2 linked regions of the Arabidopsis thaliana genome follow. The protein of the gene in region 1 binds, or shares a complex with, the protein of each later gene. Each region holds a gene or a part of one and is shown in the gene's direction. Other genes may lie near its edges. The genes, in order: JAL22 and GLL22.

What was found.
Region 2: JAL22 (region 1) and GLL22 share a complex: the UniProt entries of both Arabidopsis thaliana proteins name them as parts of the PYK10 complex.

The regions. Positions count from the first base shown.
Region 1 is NC_003071.7:16,414,922-16,418,857, reverse strand, and holds the start of JAL22 (jacalin-related lectin 22), read left to right. Parts: upstream 1-2,012; 5' UTR 2,013-2,079; intron 2,080-2,120; exon of another isoform or gene 2,121-2,527; 5' UTR 2,528-2,534; coding exon 2,535-2,735; intron 2,736-3,058; coding exon 3,059-3,520; intron 3,521-3,793; coding exon 3,794-3,936. Other genes in the region: AT2G39320 (Cysteine proteinases superfamily protein), read left to right, coding at 341-367, 467-541, 687-906, 1,019-1,266. UniProt on the Arabidopsis thaliana protein: Inhibitor-type lectin that may regulate the correct polymerization and activation of BGLU23/PYK10 upon tissue damage.
Region 2 is NC_003070.9:20,154,904-20,158,839, reverse strand, and holds the start of GLL22 (GDSL-like Lipase/Acylhydrolase superfamily protein), read left to right. Parts: upstream 1-2,319; 5' UTR 2,320-2,474; coding exon 2,475-2,733; intron 2,734-3,057; coding exon 3,058-3,176; intron 3,177-3,407; coding exon 3,408-3,876; intron 3,877-3,936.

The DNA.
Region 1 (3,936 bases):
AGGATCATCATAATTCACAATTAACTGTTGGAGAAAGATTTTTTTTTTTGAGAAACGTTAAACCTAGCAGCCCTAATCTTTTCTAAGAGAGGAGATCGAGACTCTGTTCTGAATCAATAACCATCGATCAATCTCAACTCTAAAAGATGTCTAATACTCAGACCAAGTCGTTGTGTTTGGACGGTCTTAGTGATCGCGAAATACTTGAGTATAGGTATTGATCGATTCTTCTTGTAAACTTTGTTCCAATTATTTTTTTGCCTGATAATCTCTGACTATATATGTTATTTCTTATTCTTCCTGGATTTTCAGATTGGAATGGGAAAATTACACCGAAATCATGATGAAAAGTGATGGAAATTGCCAGGTAATTAATGTTTCTATATCAAACAATCAACTTGATATATATTTTTGATCGTATTATGAATAACCCTTTTTCATGTTTTTGTCAATAATTCTATTTCAGTTCCGTGCTTTGGCGGATCAACTTTATCAAAATTCGGATTGTCATGAACTTGTTAGACAAGAAATCGTAAAACAGGTAATATCAATCTTCAAACTTTTGATTGTTTTTTTCATACGTGTATTAATGTCATATGATGATTGATTGATTGATGACTCTCAGCTTAAAACTCATCCGAAGATTTACAAAGGGTTTGTTGATCATATGGACTTCTCCCATAAAGAACATGTCATTGTCCACTAATTCCCAATGGGGCGATGAAGTGACTTTGAGAGTGGCTGCTGATGTGTATCAAGTAAAAATAATACTCATTACATCAATCAAACTTATTCCATTTATGGAGTTTTTGCCCAAGTCTCAAAAGGAACCGGACAAAGTCATTCATATGAGCTATCTAGCTGGGATCCATTTCAACTCCATCTACAAAAAAAATAAAGAAAAAGGTTAACGTTCTCTTCCTTCTCCATTGTATATACATCTCATCTCCTTACTCTTGATTTGAGGCTTTGAGCAATATTGTATCATTCTTATTCTTCGTCTTGTTGGCTGCTTCAGGTTCACGTTCATCTTCATCATCGAGTTCTGCAGTCTGGATGAAGCTACAGAGGAAGAAGGAGAATGAGGCGAAGAAAAAGGAGGAGGAGGAGAAGGAAAGGAAGGACATGGAGAAGGAGGAGAAGAAAAAGGACAAGGAGGATAAGAAGAAGGATAAGGAGGATAAGAAGAAAGCCAAGGTGCAGAAAGAGAAGAAGGAGAAGAAGGAGAAGAAGAACAGAAATCACCACTTTCACTATTCTGAATGATTTGTTTTGATAAATTAAGTGTATCTGCATTTGACAAGTTGTATGTTATTATTGGGATCATTGTGGTTGTTTTGACTCTTTTATGTTCTTTTCGAGCTTATTCTAGTTTTGAGCCTTAGATACTGATAATCATAAAACACAACATGATAATGTGAAAGAGTCATCATGACATAACATCAGCGTCCCAAAATAACTTGACCATCGTCTCCATGGTATCCAACCGTCGATCCTCAACGACTCCAAAAAGCAAGGACATGAATATATGATGATGATAAGCCAAACTTTTGCATGAACACAGTTTATACAAAATTTAAATAACTGTTAAATTCATTTGAAACTTTAATGAATGATATTTCTGACAGTAACTTAGGAAATAAAGCTTATACACCGTTTTAGTTTGAAGATAATAATTCTAAATCTGTTTTCAAAATGTGCAGTCAAAAAGATTCTTAATACTAAATAGGAGATTTTGGTGGGAATCGCAACATTAACATCATCAAATTTGTTTTAGTTAACAATATATTGAATTTGGTTTATGCTGTTTTGATGAATTGTTTTGTTCATCTGTCGTACTTTAAAATATCTCTGCATCTAGAAAGTTGTATGCTATTATTATATATTGCACTCGTAATGGACTCTAATTATTTGTTGCATTTGTGAGGGAGTCTCTCGTGTCACACGAGTTGATTATTAAAATGATTAATTAAAGACAATCAAGAAGACCTTGTATGCCAAAGATTGTCAATAAATACACACAATTCAATACCCATAAGCTTCATCTCCTTCCATCATTCAGAGCTCAATAATTAACTGGTTATCTCTCTCCCTTCAATTTTTTTTTTTTTTTTTTTTTTTAAAGTAACTCCTAGTTTCCACTACTATGTATGTTGCTTCACAAAATGTTTTTAAAACAAGAAGTAGCTCTTTATATGTAGATATGTATTCTTGAATATATTAGATTTAACAAACACTTTTAAACCTAATTGATTGATTTATATTACACCACATCACCAATAATAGAGCTATCAACATCAAACAGTAAATATTTACCCATGATCAGTTGATTGTTCTATTTGTGTTTCTTGGATCATTTTGGTGTTTTTGCTATGTATTTGAATAGGCTATACAGTGTTATCATGGTATTTATGTATTACTAACCACAAACCAGCTTTAAAAACTATATATAAAGCTGTACATATATACTTTCGTTTTTGGATTATCTATATAAGAAGTAATTTTTGCATTTTACAATATTTTTTAGATTCGAAATGGCGAAGATGTACCGGAAGTTGGCACTCTGCGGTGGTGAGGGAGGACAAGAATGGGACGACGATGTATATGAGGGTGTAAGAAAAGTGTATGTAGGGCAAGATCTCAACCGTATCACTTACATCAAGTTTGAGTACGTGCAGGAAGACGGCGAAGTAGTAACAACTGAATATGGGACAACAAATCAGCACCCTAAAGAGGTTCTCATTGCATTTATTCTCACCCTTAATTTTTTGCGATACTAGTAAATTACTCTTGTGAATTCGGATTAACGTTGGATAAATCCTTTAAGACATAAACAAGAAGAAGCAAGTATTTCTGAGGCGGATACCCTTTAGTGACTCTCTAATTTTTTTGTATTACACTACTTGTGTAAATGAATAAGACACAAACACTAAGACAACGTTATAAAACCAAAACTCAGATACTGTATATTAGGACTAGGAAATCTTGAGAATTATCCTAAACCTATCAATATTAAATACTATAAATTTTATTGAATATATGTTACTATTACATACAGTTTGTAATTCAATACCCGGACGAACACATCATAGCAGTGGAGGGAAGTTACCACCAAGTGGCTCTCATTGCCACAGAGGTGATTACGTCCCTCGTCTTCAAGACCTCAAAGGGTAGAAAGTCTCCATTGTTTGGTCCAAACTTACTTGGAATTACGACCGGTACAAAGTTTGTTTTTGAGGATGAGGGAAAGAAGATCGTAGGGTTTCATGGACGGGCAGGTGATGCTGTCGACGCTCTTGGAGTTTACTTTGTATTGGATACCACGCCGTTCCCTCTTTACAAGCTTGATGCCCAAGGTGGTACAGACGGGCGTGTTTGGGATGATGGTTCTTACGATGGCATTAAAACGCTGCGTATTGATCAAGATAATTCTCGTATCACTTATTTAGAGGTTGAGTACGAGAAAGACGGGGAAGCAAAAACATGTAACCATGGGGGGAAAGGAGATACACCATCCGAGGTAACTTTACTAGTTCTTCTTATACACGACTAGTTCAATAATTTCTCAAAAATGTTATAAATTGTTAAACTCTATTTATATGTGATCATTAGTACAACGACATAAATTAGGTTCCAAATATCAATGATTAATTATTGTGTTTGTAGATTCTTTGCAGTAGTATGAAGTATAACTCTCACACACTCCGGTTCAAATTTTTGTAGATATAATTGACACATGTATTTAGATCTCTTAAGACAAAAAGTCTTCTTATTTTGTTGCTTCTTGTTGCAGTTTGTGCTTGGTTACCCAGATGAATACATCAAATCGGTGGAAGCAACCTATCAGAAGCCAAACATTTTTAGCAATACGGCAATTACGTCACTTAAGTTCTTAACATCAAAGGGGAGAACATCATTCTTTGGGTATAATGTGGG
Region 2 (3,936 bases), on another chromosome or scaffold:
TATTTAGGGATCGATCGGGGTTTCTATAAGGGTTATGAGTCAAATTATAACTGGATCAATATCGGAATCTTGAGTAGTTTTAATTTCCAATGTTTTCATGTTTCTCTAGTGAGTTTTCCTCCATAATAAAAGATTGATCTCTGCAACTCTTACCCCTTGCAAATCTTTTATTTAAAAGAAACAAAACTTTTACATAAATTTATTTCTTTTTTTTGTCAACCACATATTAAAAGGTAATTCCATAATTAAAAAAAGAAGGCACAAGAAGCGTTTTCTCATCATCTTATCTTTTGGAGCGGACCCAAATGTTATCCAACCTATGAATGTTCGTGAGCTCATTGTGTATCCTGTTAATGAGCCTATGCGTGAGTTTTGGGAGGATCCAATGGATGAGAATATCATCGTTAGTCCATGACGTCGACGTCGATGCTAGTGAATCTATCTAACTCGTTTAGTTCTTGAGCTCACTATTTTCCATCTCTATACCATGAACGAGCTCTTGGAATTTGAAATGCGCTGTTATTAATTTGTTGAGATTTAAAATAATAATGTAACCTCAACTCTGTTTTTTCCATAAGAAAAATCTCAATGAGTAACGTGATAAACCTGACAATATGAACCAAAGCGTGTCCAATGACCTGCTTTGTGCTCAGATTAGACAAGTTTCGGGCCACATGCACTCCATTAGAACAAAATGATAAATTTTGGTGGAATCAATTTAAGAAGGTAGTGGATTCAATTTGAGACCTTTTTTACCCTCTTTTTTTGTTTGCAATTATTCTTGCAAGGTAATATTCGAAATGATTGGCAACAAAGAAAATAAAAAGTAGAAATTATAAAGTTCCAGAAAAGATAAGTTTATACATCTGGCTTTGGGGCCGGCTATATTTACAGTTAATTTTCATATGAAATAAAACCAAAAATCATATATATAGATAATAGATGAACCAAACAAATGAGGCGTTCTTCATATAAAACTTCATCTTCACGTAAGCAAATGTGTTTTATTTTTATCTAGTTTCTGCACTCTTTTAGAAACAAAATTGTTCACCTTTCTGTCGTTCTAATGATTCCAATCAAATTGATAATTACTAGAACTTACAAACGAATAAGGACCAACTCTTCTGTATTTGATATAGACACTCTCTCAAAACTTAATCTTCTCTAATCTTCACTGTAAATCTTAAGGAACAACTCTCCACAAGTTTTTATAATTTATATATACATAACTAAGCTATTACCTATACTATTAAGATTGTGTCAACGCAAAATTGAGTTATTCTTTCTTATTTAAATTTGAACTATTAAAAATATGTAAATAATTAACGAAAATCTTTGTCAAAACACTATTAAGAAAATAATTTCAAAAATTAACATGATGATAAAATATAGATTGTTAATTGTTTTTTTTAATTGTTTTCAAGTAATTTAATCAATAATATGATGAGGATGATTAAGGAAATTACTATAATTTATCTTTTAAAGAATATCTTAGCATAGGTATGAGTTGTTTTTGCAAAATTTTAATAATTGATTTAAGTTATCTAAACGTTATTAAAATTATTATCCAAATTATCTATAATTATCCGAACATATTCGTCTCTTGTCTATTCTGGTAGTGATATTTTATGTATCTATATTATTCATATATCGTATCAGTATAATCTGACTTATTTAAAAATATCTATTTGATATGTATTTTGATATTAAAAATATTTTAATTCGAGTTGTGTACTCGTAAATTATCCAAAAGTTTTAGCAGAAATAAACATATCTACGTATATGTTGGTGTTGAAATTTTTTTGTTGAATTTGGCTAGTCAGCAAAATTTAGTTTTATGCAAATGGTTACTGCAGAAATTACTGAATCTGGTTTAGTGTTACCATTTACACCCTATATTTCCGTGAAATTTGTATGTTTAATTCTACTTCTTGCCTCTAAATGCACGATCTTTTCAGCACTTCGAAGAGGTTAAAGTGACTTTTACCCGATGAGAAGGGAATTGTGTGGCAGATAGAATTGCTAGGGAATCTCTTTCTTTTCTGAATTATGATCCCAAATTGTATTCTATATTGCCGGATTGGGTTAAAGCTTATGTGTATTCAGACTCTTGTGTAATTGTAAGTTGTTGTTGAACCAAAAAAAAAAAAGCACGATCTTTCTTGGTACTCGTAGTAACAATAGATATTTTGTTGAGAATTAAAAATAAAGTAGAAGAGAAACCAGTAATGCGTCAGACGTGATTAAGCGAACTATATAATATAATTGATCGATAATCGTTTGCTAGTGCGTTAAATAGGTGTATAGTAAAATGAACCTCGCGCTACACGTTATTATTTGTATAGTAAAATGAACTATTATTTTCATTGCCAAATTGTAGTACTTGCAATATAAATATAACGAATCGGTCTACGAGCTAAGGCACAAAAGCAATCTTCTTCTCTTTTCACAGTTCTGTTTCTCCCTCTCTCTAAATGATGGCAAACAACTGTAATTTAGTCAGTGTTCTATGTGTAATTTTGGTATTGACCCTCTTTCACAACCCCATCACTGTCGCCGGACAGAATAGTCCGGTGGTCGCCTTGTTCACCTTTGGTGACTCCAACTTCGACGCCGGAAACAAACAGACTCTCACCAAAACCTTAGTCGCTCAAGGTTTCTGGCCGTACGGAAAATCTCGAGATGATCCCAACGGCAAATTCTCCGACGGCCTCATCACTCCGGACTTCCTCGGTACGACTTCTTTTCTAATCGAATCCTACTCTAATCTTTAAAACATTAAGTATGTTAAAAATAGTATGATTACGTAAAAATAATCATAAACAGTAGTATTTATAAATGCATTTTAAGTATGCTACTAGTGAATTACTTAAAAAATAGTAAATAGTATGATTAAAAAAAAGATTATAAATGCATTGGTTCAGCGGCTATTCACTTTTCGGGACACATTCTATGAAATTTTATTTATTATTTTCGTCAACAGATTCGGAGATGTAGTACAAGGAATGATTTGATATTATATGAAAAACTAAAATATTTTTAAAATACAAAATGCAGCTAAATTCATGAAGATTCCGCTCGCGATCGCGCCGGCGCTTCAACCGAACGTCAATGTCTCACGTGGAGCTAGTTTCGCCGTCGAAGGTGCTACTCTACTCGGAGCTCCGGTGGAATCTGTAAGTAAACTTAATTTCTTATTATATAAGAGTCATGTATATATCTATAGTCAACACCTAATTCAAAGAAAATCAATTATATCTGTCTATTATTGACCCGGTCATACTAAGCGGGATTCTTTTTGTTTTACTTCACAGAAAAGCATGTGACTTAATATCAATAAGCTTTACTTTAATTGCACTTATAATATTGGTTTAATTTTTGTCTTTTTCTCTTTTTTGGTTCTTTAGATGACTCTGAATCAACAAGTGAAAAAATTCAATCAAATGAAAGCAGCAAATTGGAACGATGATTTCGTGGCAAAGTCAGTATTTATGATATACATTGGTGCAAACGATTACTTAAATTTCACCAAGAACAACCCTACCGCTGATGCATCTGCTCAACAAGCTTTTGTTACTTCCGTGACCAACAAGTTAAAGAACGATATTAGCGCGTTGTATTCATCAGGAGCGAGTAAATTCGTGATCCAAACCTTAGCTCCATTGGGTTGCTTACCCATCGTCAGACAAGAATACAACACCGGGATGGATCAATGCTATGAGAAACTCAACGATTTGGCTAAACAACACAACGAAAAAATTGGACCGATGTTGAACGAAATGGCTAGAAACTCTCCTGCATCAGCTCCTTTCCAATTCACCGTCTTTGATTTCTACAATGCCGTTCTTACTAGGACGCAGAGGAACCAAAACTTCCGTGAGTTGGTTAATTATCATGGTTTAATTTCATTTGTTTTAGTTTTATAACTTCTAATAC